Oreochromis niloticus: one gene and its partner. The protein of the gene in region 1 interacts with the protein of each later gene in a biochemical or structural test. Links are inferred from orthologs where the notes say so. Each region holds a gene or a part of one and is shown on either strand. Other genes may lie near its edges.

Evidence for each region.
Region 2: the proteins of atf2 (region 1) and fosab form a complex in vitro, tested with the Homo sapiens proteins (3 studies listed by BioGRID and IntAct, with this or other methods). The link is inferred for Oreochromis niloticus from reciprocal best matches to the Homo sapiens genes ATF2 and FOS.

The regions. Positions count from the first base shown.
Region 1 is NC_031987.2:16,730,797-16,737,705, reverse strand, and holds the start of atf2 (cyclic AMP-dependent transcription factor ATF-2), read left to right. Parts: upstream 1-3,868; 5' UTR 3,869-3,961; intron 3,962-3,986; exon of another isoform or gene 3,987-4,034; intron 4,035-4,048; exon of another isoform or gene 4,049-4,447; intron 4,448-4,607; 5' UTR 4,608-4,632; coding exon 4,633-4,680; intron 4,681-6,037; coding exon 6,038-6,134; intron 6,135-6,219; coding exon 6,220-6,338; intron 6,339-6,429; coding exon 6,430-6,555; intron 6,556-6,909. Other genes in the region: atp5mc3a (ATP synthase membrane subunit c locus 3a), read left to right, coding at 637-675, 1,541-1,615, 2,106-2,296, 2,400-2,514. UniProt on the Homo sapiens protein: Transcriptional activator which regulates the transcription of various genes, including those involved in anti-apoptosis, cell growth, and DNA damage response.
Region 2 is NC_031980.2:9,324,681-9,332,045, reverse strand, and holds fosab (v-fos FBJ murine osteosarcoma viral oncogene homolog Ab), read right to left. Parts: upstream 3,060-7,365; 5' UTR 2,880-3,059; coding exon 2,748-2,879; intron 2,303-2,747; coding exon 2,081-2,302; intron 1,987-2,080; coding exon 1,879-1,986; intron 1,763-1,878; coding exon 1,088-1,762; 3' UTR 522-1,087; downstream 1-521. Other genes in the region: proto-oncogene c-Fos, read left to right, coding at 7,166-7,294. UniProt on the Homo sapiens protein: Nuclear phosphoprotein which forms a tight but non-covalently linked complex with the JUN/AP-1 transcription factor. In the heterodimer, FOS and JUN/AP-1 basic regions each seems to interact with symmetrical DNA half sites.

The DNA of each region.
Region 1 (6,909 bases):
GTAATGTCATAAACCTGTTTAAAAAAATATAGAAAATGATCAAATGATGCTTCAGACTCAGTGATTGGTGATAAGAAAGAATTGGAAAAGCAGGTAAATGTAACTGGCTTTCTTTTTACTTAAAAAGAAAATTAAAAAAAAAACTTTTAAAAAAATCAGATTTCTTAACATTGAATGTAGTAGAACTGGCCATTTCCAATAGTATAAAACATTTTTAAATGTCCCTCTGAACTTTTTTCTCATATTGATAAAGATTCCCTTCCGGCTGATTTTCAATAAAGTTTCATTGAAACGACCTTCCCAGTCACCATCCGGGCCTCTTACAAACACCCCATCGCGCATGCGTACTCTTCCACTGTGGTTCGACCTCTGCAGTCGGTAAGTGTGTAATGGCAGTTTGAATGAGAAGCGTATCTTTATAAATCCCTTTTCATCCTTTCTTTAAGCTTCGCATTGCAGTGCACAAGTGAGGATAGCATACAGAACGGATGTGAATGCACTTATGAATGCTGTTATTTTCTCTGCTGGGCATTTTTACACCCGTTTGACCTTAATTCTGTCCAATCTTCCCTCCATAGAGAGACCCGGGCTTCAACCAGATTTGACCGAACCGGTTAAAACTACCTAAAGTAGAAAATGTACGCCTGCGCTAAGTTCGTCTCCACGCCGGCTGTGGTGAGTTTTCTCCTCGTCTGTGTTTCTTTGAGTCGGACTTCTCTTAATGTCGCTAATAAAGCCGGTGGGCCTCTGGTTGAACTTGACTGCAGCTTTCCTGCAAGGGTATCAGACTAGGCCGGGAGTTTAGCCGGCTAATGCTAAACCAGTAATTCACAATCCCCTTTTAATGGCAGCAGAATGGGTGCAATGTTAATGAAATTTACGCATGCGATTTTTTTAATTGTTAATAATGCATCTATAATCCTGCGTTAGCCTTTAGCACATAGCTCCCATTATGGCCGCTAGCTAAGGTCATTTAGGCCTTCTGTTAGCAGAACAAGGCGCAGACAGAGTGCACAAGACCCCGCACTTTGCAAACAATACAGAAATGGTTGCATTTTCCGTTTGGGCTGCCAGCTTGCACGTACATATATCCTGGAATGTCTTTATCCAAGGTCATGATACTGGTTTTGGAGGCTAACCAGTTTGAATGACAGCACAAATGGGTGTTAGCTAACTTGCATTGTATTTTTATTGTAATATGCCAACATCATTGCTCAACAGTAAACTTTTAACGCTACTTGCAGTCATCACTGAATGCCACAGGTCACACAGTGCAATGAAAAACACTGAGACATTCAAGGTGTCATCCACCTTCACACATGCCCACAAATGGGGAATAGTTGCCACTGTTAAAGATAAGATAAGATAAGATAAGATGGCCTTTATTAGTCCCACAGGTGGGAAATTTGTTTTGTTACAGCAAAAGTGCAAAGTTATGTAGCAGAAATTAGAAGCACATGTGTTGTGTGTTACTGAGCATACAGTCATGTAAATTGTTTATCTAGACTCATTATTCATGTTTTTGGTCTTGTTGTTGCAGGTCCGTGCTGGTTCCCGGGTTCTTTACCGACCTCTGTCTGCCTCTGTGCTGTCCAGGCCTGATGTTAAATCGGAGGTAAGAAGAAATGCAGGCTTTCTGCAACTTCTTCAGCCCTTCTTAACAGTGCAGTGTTGGAAATTATTACCTAAATTACCACTGTCAATTTTATAGAGCACATTTCATAATACGTAAACTCAGTGTGCTTACCATATAAGATAAAGACGAGCTATGCAAATCTGCAGTCTCTGAAAGCAATAAAAGCAACAAAACAAAGTTTTAAAAGAAATAAAATACAAGTTAAAACAAACATGCAATAAATAGTACAACCTTTATGTGCGCATTTCTGCTCTGTAGTTTATCTTTAAGTTTAAAACTTGCAGGTAAATTGGCAAATTTTTTTGATTAATGGTGTGACAGAACTGGTTGAAATTTCCCTAAATTTCACACTATGCCTCCTATATTACTCCTGTCATCTGCTGCCACACTGTTTTAAATGTCAGCTGATGTTTACATTGAGGCGGGCAACGAAAGGACAGTGTTTACAGTGCCTCTTCTCTTGTTACAGAGCAGCGTTGCTCTGCTGCCCCAGAGCCCCCTGAGCCAGGCTACACTGAGAGGCTTCCAGACCAGCGCTATCAGCAGGGACATTGACACTGCCGCCAAGTTCATTGGTGCCGGAGCCGCCACAGTCGGAGTAGCTGGATCTGGTGCTGGAATTGGGACAGTGTTTGGTAGTCTCATCATTGGCTATGCTAGGTTTGTTTTAATTTCAGTGTCTTTATTCTTCACTATGACGCTAATTGATTCCTTGTGTGTTCTGTAAATGTGCTGATGGCTTCTTTTCTTCCTTTCTTTGCAGGAACCCATCTCTGAAGCAGCAGCTGTTTTCATACGCTATCCTGGGATTCGCCCTGTCTGAAGCCATGGGACTGTTCTGTTTGATGGTGGCTTTCCTTATCCTGTTCGCTATGTAAAACTCTGCTGTCAGACAAAATTTTCATTACAGATGTGACTACATATTTTATTGTGGCTACCAAAATTGTTCCGTGTTGGTGTCATGGGAAATGTACATTTTCAAGTCTTTTAGACACTGTCAAAAAAGCCAAGACATGTATTGTACAAATGTAAGAAATTACGTGATTAAAATACATGTGTTTGACTATTTAACAATGGCAGTAACTTTTATGTCTGGATTATAAATGGTAACACAACTGAAAGCACTTGGCCTTCATGAATGTCATCTTTTCTGTGAAGCAGGTGCTTAGGCTTGCCATTACTCAGCCTTGTTTTCATAGACCATAACATGCAAGCTTTTTGGGGTCCACCTTAATGACTTTTTGGTTCAGCTGCACTTAAGTAATATTGTATTCAGGCAGCAAGTGAGTGCTTGCTTTTGTAAATGCCACTGAATAAACCTAGCTGATTTTAATTGAGCTAAGTAATGGGTTTTGAATTTTTTGACTCGTGATGAAAGTCCCGGTTTCAAAAGCTGACAGATTGTAGTCATTACACCTTTATTGTTGGCTGCTTTCACTGGCTGAGCTTAAATTTGAAGAGGTAAAATCAGTCTTCAAAAATGCCAGAGATGATAATCATTAAGTCACTTATCAAGCAGAAATGCTCAACATTCATTGTCAAGGATGATCTTTAAATATCTCAATTTAATTTCTGGCTTACCCCAACTGTTGCTGTACAATCCTTTACTATGATAAGGTAATATTTGTCACTTGTCATGGAAAAAAAAATAAAAAAATGCTACCACATAGATCTAAATGTATAGCAATATAAAATGGTGATATATATACAATATAGTTCAAAATGGAGTGTATAATGTAAACTAGTGCAGTTAACTGGGGGTGGTTTATGGTTTATATCCACCCTTTTTCTCACACATCCAAAACAGCTCATGGGGGACTGGAGCCTTTCACAGATTGCCTAAAATCATGTTAAAAAACTTAAGTCTTGACCATCAGCAGTGAAAAAAGGATTCTGGTCAGATAACATATATGATCTGTTACCTTTTTAACACTTAAAAAAATCTTGGAAGGTTACAATATTAAACAATAATAAAGATAAAAATAATAATAATTAAAAAATGAATAAAGATTGTTTTATGTATAAAAAAATAATAAAAGGGATGAAGCTGGAGCCTCCAGAAAACACTGAAAACTAAATCAGTAATTTTCTGAAAGGAGAAACATCAGAAATATGACTTGTTAGCAAGGATTTTTTATATGCCTTAAAACATTTCTGCTTCTCCTAATTCTTTTCCAAAACTACTTGAAGGTCAATGACAGAACAAGAGCAAAGTGTATGTGGCTCATCTGTCCGAGTGTGACGTTTACGGAAGAGTCATAGCTGTTCTCGCGATGCTTTAGTACGACCGTGGGATTTTGGAAATCAAGGGTTGTGGCTGAGGGGGTAAGTGACCACATAAACTGATAGCGAATGGGTAAAAAGCTGTGGTAAAAGACATAATTGCTGGGACCGTGAGGTACTCGTGCTCCGTTACGACGAGACAGCCTTGAAACAAACGCTGACATCTCCTTTGTTTACAGTGATATTTAGCTCCTAATATGGCGACGCTAGTATGTTAACGCAGGGCTCAGGCTATTCCGTGGAAGCGACTGGAAGAGATGAGCGCTACCTATGTAGTAACGTAATAGTGAGATGTTCATGTGTGTGATGTCTGTTTGCGATGAGCTGCTATATTTACAGCACAGAAGCTGTCAGATGATGATAGCCCTGGATGCGTGGCTCAGTCGCTTGTTGTGCCAAAACAAGTGAAGCGATAATCCTCTTTATGATGACACCGAGTGTAAACAACCAAAGCAGCCGCCCTGCATCCATAGGCTTTGTCCAAATTTCCAGCTCTGCTTTCTAACCACTGCATCCTCCAACCACCCTGTATTTACACATTTATGAGCTACATTTATTCTCACAAATTATTATTTGCTATAGCCCTATTTGTATACCGTCAGCTCTTGAAATATACATCATTGCATATCTGCAGGTGTGATATTTATTTATATATTTTTTATTTTTATTTTTTGTGTTTTTATTTCAGGGCGAGGTAACAGGAATTCCTTAATATGAGTGATGATAAACCTTTCCTATGTACTGCTCCTGGGTGTGGACAGGTAAGTTTTTGATCACAGGTGTTTCATAAATCTCACTGTACAGATGAACATGACTGGATCCACATTTCCACGTCCAAAAAACAAACAAACAAACAAACAAATACGTTGCTAACTGGTCACTGCTTCATTGTATATAGACCCAAACAGTTTATTTAAAAAAAAAAAAGTGCCATATGAGCACAGTACAAACTAAAGCAAACATGGTGTTAAATCGCTAAGTTTAAAACATATCCCATCATAACAATACTGGAAACATTTATAATAGGGTAAACGTCCCAACACCTACTCATATACATTGATTTGGGGCTCTAAGGAACTTAATCACAATGCCTAGTTGGTAATCAGGTGCTCTGTTTTTTGTTATGATTTTTTTTTAAGTCATTTTGACATACTCTATGTATTATATGATCTAAAATCCACTAAAGTGTAGGTTTTGGTCAAAATCTACACTTAACTAATTAATTTTTGTGCTAAAATACATAAAATTCAGATGTACTGAATCCAAAAAGTATTGAAATCATCCTAAAAGACTCACAATCTGTCATCTTAAAAAAAAGATGCTCGATGGAAATGAAATATATGCAAATACCATTGCCAGTGATTTAAATGACAGTTTGACCAATAAGCAATGATGATCTGCATTTTTCAAATTTAGTTTTTCTTCTTAATTTTTCCCTCTTGTCTGCATGGGGGAAAAAAAACAAATATTCATTTGAAAAATAAAGTATTTTGGCTCATCAAAACAAAATTAATGTGACTAAATAGATCAAAATAACCTTCTTCATTTGTTTAGTTACTGCTCATCTAATATCTGGAGATGCTTAATTTGACTTAATGTATATAAATGGGTCTTCATAGTCCCCAGATCCTTTTCCCAATTCTGAGGACATGTCTAGTGTGTCACAGGTGTTAGATGTGTATTTGCTGTACTCAGTCAGTTGTCTGATAAGTACGTACGTAGATCGTGCTATCTAACCTCATGAAGTCCAATGTCCAGTGTTTGTTAGAGTCCATTTTACTTAGTCAGGTCTGCTTTACATCCATAGTAACATTAGAGACCTTTGGCTTTGTTGCTGCTCAGTTGTTCGTGGTTTTGGTCAGCAGGATTTGTTTCTGTTGTTTAGTCAATACTCATAAAACTTAACGGGTTGGGCACAATTATATAACAGCTTTCGCAGTTAAAGCTTATAATGAGTTTCGACAGCCACACGTTTGAGGCAGTAAAGCTGTCAAGCTAGAATCCAGCCATGACGTAGAAGACTAAATTATTGGTCAGAATTAAAATTTTAAGGTTTAAGTAAGACTTCTTTCAGTCACATCAGTCACACTTGCTGTATTTTTTTGAAACCTTGCATAGAGATTCACAAATGAAGACCACTTGGCTGTCCACAAACACAAACATGAGATGACCCTGAAGTTTGGCCCTGCTCGGAATGACAGTGTTATCATTGCAGGTGAGTGCTCTGTTAGATGGAATATTCAGAGGTGATGGATGCTTTACATTTCCATCTCTGTGCTCAAGAGTTTCCTCCCTTGCAGACCAAACCCCAACGCCTACTCGCTTCCTGAAGAACTGCGAGGAGGTCGGGCTCTTCAATGAACTCGCCAGTCCTTTTGACCATGACTTCAAAAAAGCCACTGAAGATGAAATTAAAAAGGTGGTTCTCGCTGTTAAATGTGTAAGCAGATCATCTGAGCCTTGTCTGTGTTCACTCTTGTGATCATTTTGGGCTTCTTGTTGTTCCACAGCTACCCCTGGATTTGTCACCTCTTGCGACACCTATCATACGCAACAAAATTGAGGAGCCCACAGTGATAGAGACACATCGAGATAGCCCTTTGCCTCATCCTGAGTCTACTACAAATGATGACAAGGTAGGCACTTTAAGCTGCCTCTGGCATTTTTTCTTACCATAGAGCATTTACAACGCTGTAATGAAGGACGTTCTCTACTCCTGTGATCAGAAATTTGCAAATCCGCTTTGTGAAGCATTGGGACTTTCTGCTTAATATAATTTAATTTTGAACTCTTAACTTGTCTTATTCTGTTGTGAATACACTAAAACTGAAAAGATTAGCAGTACTACACACATATTAGTTGGATTCAGACGAATACCTTTTACTTGATTGCTCATATTATTTATTCCTGATGTTGAGGAAAGAGTAACAGCATCTTATTATAGGAAACATTCAAGTAATCTGGTGTCAGTTAAACACTTCATTCAGCTA
Region 2 (7,365 bases), on another chromosome or scaffold:
CCCTATATTTGGGCACGGAAGTCCAGACGTCATCGCGCACGGCTTGCGATTAAAAAAATGGAAAGAACGCACTGACGTAAGAGCCCCTGACATAGTTAACCCTGGCAACAGGCGGAACAATAAATAGAGCAAGTGGAGGTGCAGGGAAAAAAGATGGCTATCCCTTATATAAGCTAATTTTAGCATTATTTTAATCATTTTTGAAAGCATTTTACTGGAAATGCTTTTAATTTACTACTCCTGAGAATATTCCCCTCTTTTATTTTTTCTTTTATTATTTTTCTCTTTCATCTTTTCTTTAATTATTTTTCCTTTGCCTCTCTTCCCCTAAACATGGGGCGAGGTTTCTTCCTGTTAAAAAGAGTTTTTCCTTCCCGCTGTCGCAAAGTCCTTGCCCCATGAGGTGACTGATGAATACACCTGAATTGAACTGAATAAATATGTAAATGCGTGTGTGTGTGTGTGTGTGTGTGTGTGTGGATATCATGAGAGGAAGCAACACACCCAGCCAGCACAGATGATTGAATTGAAATATCACTATCTTTTTATTTACATAACTTACAAACAACATTCTTCTTTACTATCTCTTTCTCTATTCCTCTATGTGTAAAAAAATAAATTTAATAAATTAAAAGGACTAATGTTTTCACAGAAAACTTCGGATAGACCACTCAGACCATGGTTAAGACAATGCACGTCTTTTTTTGTTTGTTTTTTTTCTTTTTAAAATTTCACAAACAGTTCACATATTAACTCTCACATTCCATTAACCAGAAAACAAACTGGATCAATAATAACTATTGCTCTGAACACACATCGATAAACAACAAGTTATGTTATCTAGCACCATATAAATCATATACGAACTCATATAACGACTAGGTGGTATTAGTTGAAACATGCGGGGAGGGGTTTTTTTGTTTTTGTTTTTTAAACTTGCTACATTGGTGTTATAGGCAAGTATAGATAAAGGCAGATAAAAATCATAAATAATTTAATATAAGTCTGTTCCATAGCCCTGTGATCGGCACATCTATGTAAGAAAGTGTGCTTTGATAGGAAGAATCATTGTTTCTTGTACAGTCTTTTAGAGGGCCAGCAGGGTGGGTGAGCTGAGGGAGTCGGAGGACTGCTCATTGCTGCTGCTTCCTCTCCTGTGGGCAACGCCGCAGGTGGGGAAGGTCTCTGCCTCTGGGAAGGTGAATACAAATGAAGACGTGAAGGTAGTGCAGGCTGGGGTGCAGGTTACTACAGGTGTGCACAGGGGCTCGAAGTCATTGGTATTAGCTGAGGTGTGAAGAGCCTCCCACTCCTGACCCGTGTAGAGGGAGCTGGACAGGTCGACCTCTGGCACCGACCGTGCCGTCTCCATCTCTGTCTTTGCCAGGAGATCCAGAGACTCCTCCAGGACAGAGGACTCCAGGTCTGACATCTTGACTGTGCTGCTAGAGACAGTGGCTGTGGAGAGGGCGGTGCTGGTGCTGGAGAAGATGGAGTTGGAGGTTGAGGTGAAGGTCGGCTGGCTGGAAGCGATAGCAGGTGTCTGAGAGACGGTGATCTGTGGCTGGGTGGACACTGCAGCGGAGTGGCAGGAATGGGTAGGAGAGAGGGAGGTCAGGGGGAAGTCCGTGCCCAGCTCAGAGGGGATTTTGCAAATGGGCTGGTGGGCAGCCAGAATGAACTCAAGCCTCTCCTTCTCCTTCAGCAGGTTGGCGATATCATTCTGCAAGTTGGATTTCTGGTCTTCCAGGATATCAGTTTCCTGTAAGAGAGAGAAATGGAGGAAGTTGCATCAGCTTGGCTGTTGGATAGCTCTGCTATTAGCTCTGACAATAAACACGTTTTAATGAGTGATGGTAAGTCTGATGGGATACTTACAGCTTGCAGAGTGTCTGTAAGCTCTCGCCTCCTGTTGCGGCATTTTGCTGCTGCCTGCTTATTCCTCTCTCTGCGAATCCTTCTCTTCTCTTCCTCCTCAGGTGTCATCTGCACATGATAGAAGGTAAAAGTTAGGACCCCTGCTCTTTAATAAACTTAGTCTATGACTATATATAACACTTCATGAACGAATGATAATTACCTGTTCCACTTTGCCTCTCTTGTTGTGAGCCCTGGACACTGCAGATTTCATGACTGCTCTTGAATATGCAGGGCTGGGGCTGGAGGTGTAAGGGTGAGCTCCGTGGGAAGGGGCCACTGAGGAGACCACAGGCTGGACCATCCACTGAAGATCTGGGCTCGTGGAAATGGCCGTGACTGTGGGGATGAAGGAGGCACTTGATGCTGTCAGGTCTGTGAAATCCTGGAGGAAATGAAATAAAAGAGAAGATCGTCAGGACGTTTAGTACATTATCAGGAGGGGTGGCAGCATTGCAAGATGTCTATGAATGAAGCACGGAGGGTCTATAAAAAGCTGGATGGTTTAAAAATATCCTTATGATGTCAGCTATGACGTTACACTCTCTCTATGGAGTTTCCAGGTGGATGAATGAAGCTTGCCTTGCACTGTTTGGTGCGCAGGTCAGAGTTATTTTTTAAAATATATATATACATATTTAAAAACAAAACTCAATGAGTGCTTTTCTTAATTTCCAGCCAGCCTTTTTCATTATTACCATTATTATTATCTGAAAACATCACTTTTAAGTTTTGTCAGTTTAATTTAGTAAACATCCAAATCTCCAACAGGTCCTTTCTGAGCTGAAATAGCGTGCTGTAAAAATTTAACAATGTTTAAGCGGACATACCTGAGACTGGGGAGATCCCATGCTGGAGTAAGATCCCGCTGGTGACGGGTAATATCCCAGAGTGTCCACGGACGGGGAAGCGGTGCTGCAGCGAGAGGAAGAGTCGCAATCCGCGTTGAAATTGAACATCATCGTTCCTTTTTTTCGAAAAAAAATTAAGCAGATAAGAAGATCCGGACAAACTCTACTAAGGACGAATGTAAACTTGAGGTCAGGATAGTCCTTTAGTGGGTTTGCGAGAAAACTCTTCAAGCGCTGTTCCCGATCAGTTCTCTTAGTCGCTGTTCTGCTACTCAAAGTTAGACTGCCAACTCTCCGAGCTGGGCCATTTATATACTGTCTGCTGACGTAAAGAGGGGTGTGCCGTGCACCCGACACCAGGAAGGAAAAAAAACACCAAAACACTGACTTAACAACGCGGTAATAACACCGACTTTTCCTCGCGCTCCATTTAAATTCAATACAGTTTGTTTGCACGAGTCACGAATGAGTCATTTACAGGTGATAAGTGACTATTTGAAATGTTTATTTCTAAAACTCGTCTTCAAGAAATGGAATATTCCGGAGCGGGATCCCCGATACGTAGGTATCCATATATGGTGCATCCTGTGAAGGAGGCGGGGCCTGATGGGAAATACACCGTGAGAGTGGCGGACAGCGGCATGACGTTATGTAAAACAACAAACAGAGATTGTTGTGAAAACTTAAAGAACTGAGATAACAGTGAGGAAAAGTGCGTCCTACACAGCAAGGACACAATTAAACATGCAAATGCGTCTGTGCTGAACAAAATGTACCAAACAAACACATGAAAAAAAAAAAAAAAATCTGTTTCTGTTTTTTTTAACCCCCTCCCCCAGCCGCGCACCTCCTTTTTTATTTTTATGTTTTTGAAATATAGAAACTCAGTTTTATCGTGCAAACTTTCGGCTTGTGGTGAAGCACTTTGTGATATTCATCTTGAAATTTGGCATATAAATAACATGTTATTTACGTACTCGCTAACTTCACTCACTGACTCACTTATCGGCTATTTTTAAAGTGTTTAATTTGATAAATGGTTACACACTTAATGCGAGACAATCCATACAATCACAGAAGGTCCGCATTTGCATGTGTAGGTCACGAAATACAAAGAATAATTAAAAATAAAGATAAGAATAAGCGAGAAAATGGTGGGTAATTAATTTTTACTTGATTCTGTGGTCTGTCCGTTTTCTAAAGTAAACCGACTTTTAATTTACTTATTTATTTAATTTTTGTATTCATGTATTTTTCTTACTTAATCCCAGATGCGTTTATATCCAGTAAGTTACAATGGAATTGTTTCATAGTCAGTCTAAAATATCTCTACATAAACGTTGCATGTCAGGACATGGGTGACATGTTCTCCACCCTCAGGTACTGTTTGTACCTTTCGCCTGCAATCCAGAACAGGGCGTGTTTAGCTGCAGAGCGAGCTGATAACTGGTTTTCTGTGTGTACGTTTCCTCGACGACAGGAGATGGGGAGGGGTGGCGGTTAATTGTAAAGGTCTTCCCCAAAGCCACTAGCAGAGGGAATCCTCAAGATTTACGTAAGAAGCTATGAAACGAATTCATGAAATGCAGGCTTAACGGTGAGCCAACATTGCGACTGCATTTGCTGTTTAATAACTGTTCGTTCTCTGACATCAGCACTTTTTTTTTTATTATCCTGTTCACTTGAGAAGTAGGTCTGTGGAACAAGCAGCATGACTTTCGTGCAATATTACCAAAGTCAGCAACATTTGCTGGTAGTTTTGTTCATGGTTTATTCTTAATAAAGGCGATACATTCATGATACATGAGTTTAATGAAACACAATTCATACTTTTCTTCTTCTTTTTTTCTCTCTCTCGTGAGTCTTCCGGGAATTCCCTTCTTTAACTAAACAAGCACAAAACAAGCACCATAAGCGCTCTCGACCCATTAAACAAACCATAAAGACTAAACAAAGGTGTCATTGTGTCAAAAGGCTCTAATTCAGGCTATAGGATTTTGCGCTTTCTTTCCCGCGCCAGTGTTTTGTTGAACATTCCTGGTTGTCATAGCGACGCCCAGCCCCTTTCGCGTCAGTGACGTCCATTTATTTTTTATTTTTTCATAGCAACGAAGATCGTGTCTAATCATGAGGAGGAGCCGCATCAACAGAGAAACACCAAACCGGCTTTTTCGGCATCGCCTGTGGAGACGGAACGTGCACATGAACACGTCATTAGCGGTTCCCGGAAACGTCGTCGGAGTGAGAGCTCTGAGTGTTTTCCCATCTCTGACAGTCCTCCCCTTTCCTCGGTGTCTGCGGGTCAACGGAATGGAACGGGACACCAAACAAGCCGTTTACCTTGAGCGGTGTTTGAGTTCTGTTTGAGTGGTTGGCATGAAGGTTGCTGACCTGCACTGTTTGAGTGACCTGGTTTTTGCTGGTGTTATTTCGTGTTGGACTGAGACTGGAATCGAAATAAAATTATAATAACAATAATAATAATAATAATAATGATAATAATGATAATAATAATGATAAAAAGAAAGAAAGAAAGAAAGAAAGAAAGGCAATTTCTAAAATAAAAACATATTTTTTATTGCTGTTTTTAAAAGTATTTAAAGTTAAATACTATCTAAATGCTATCTAATACCTGAAGTTATTTCTTTTTTTCTTTTTTTTTTATCGCTGCTCTTTGGCTCCTCAAAGGAGAACAGTTCACTAAAATGACCGTGAACTTGGATGCCAGTGGATCTAAAAATAAATTCTACAGTCTTTGCGCATTCACGCTCAAGTTGCTTTGAAGAAAACGACTGTTAGAGCTGTGCTGAGAGGTGAGTATTGTTCGACCTTTGAACTTCTTTTTGTCCCAGGCCGCTCAAAACGACCACCAATAGTGATGTGCCGGTAAATAGGGCCCAAGGCGGGGGGTTGCCACTGCCGGGAAGTACCCGGGAGCGCAGAGCAAACAGGGGGGAGCTTCTCACTCTATCCAGCGCTTATCCCTTTCACTTGGATGGGTTCGTGAGGTCACATGAAACCTAAATATAGCCCAATCCGGCCCGCAAGCTCTTGTTATGGGAGCAGAATTAGGTTATGCGGGAACATCAATTAAAGCCCGGGCTTTAATTGGTGCCGATAAACTGCATTACCGTCTGTGAGAAAGTAAGTCACGTTGTTCCTGTCTAGAAATTATGTCAGTCACTGGCCTTCTTGAATTCTCCGATTCCCTCATGAGTCTGTTTTGCACATCTGCGGCTGCACCTAATTGCCACCCTTATATGGAAAGGTGGGTCAAATCCTTCGCATCCTCAAACTAACGCCTGTGCGGGCATTCTTGGCGCAGCTGATGACGCTGATATCAGGTACAGCACAGGGTCAATCTCTGAGAGCTTGTTTTACTTTCTTTTTGCGGCAGCGAGTGAGTGGGCCACACACAGCCCGGCAGCGTCCGTCTGCGCGCTATCCTTCCTATCCTTGTGCCACAGCACCCCCCCATCCCCCCACCCCTCCCGGAAATACCATATATGGCTCGACCGGTCCATTCGGCGATTGGCTGCTTGGCTTCAGCGACAGTTCTGTTGCTGGAGCTCTATTCATATGTAGAGACAGGTGAAAGGCAATGTGATACGTGAATGACACTTAATTATGACGGCTTATAAATAATCAGGCAGTGTGCTGGAAGTGTGCTGTGAAATAATTAAATTAATGCCGGATTTTATTATGTGTCTATAAATAGATGATGGAACATTAGTGCATAATCATTGTTCTAATGTGGACAGTTTGGAGGAGAAAGAACCGGGGAAGCACCACACTGGCTATTTTAAAACCATTTATTAATGAAGCCTATTACACTGCCTCCACTTTCCTTCTAATGCATTGAGAGCTCGTGTTACCGTAAATGCCCAGAAGCATTAAACAAAGGCTAAATGTCGAGAACATATGAGGGCATGACGGGAACATATAGCCTGTGATGCAGATGCTGCATACATGAAGTGACGTAGTTCATTCATGGCGGTGGGCACCTTTTGGAGGGAGGGGTGCCATTTTCTATGTGCTCACTTTAAAAAAAAAAACATTTGAGTTCTGATAATAAGCTGAAATAAAACAGTGGGCTAGTGTTGATTTTTACGCACTTCAATGATTTGATTGTTGAACTGTAAAAAAACCCATCTGCTAGCCCCTTTCTCCTGTCACTTCTCCCTCGGTGAAATGGTTCGGTCTCACCACACAGATTTCATTCATAAAATTCCAGCTCACTATAAAAGGCGGGCCTCTCCACTATGTGCACAGTTATGAACCTGGCAAATGGAATATAGGCGTCCGGGACATCCGTTTTCTGTCTAGCACAGACTGACTGTTCAGTCTCTTATGCGGTGATTTAATTTTATTTTGAATTTTTATTTTTTAATGAAACCATGCATCCAGACTCCAGCACTGAGTTCGACTTATCGTCCAGCTGTAGCACAGCATCGCCTGGCGGGGACACCCCTGGGTGCAGTCAGCATCCTCCTGACTCGCTTTCATCATCAGTGGACAGCACCAAGGTAGAGCCGGATCTCTTCATTACACACACAAAAACCTGATCACAAAGCGTAATCTTGTGTTTGACGCATGC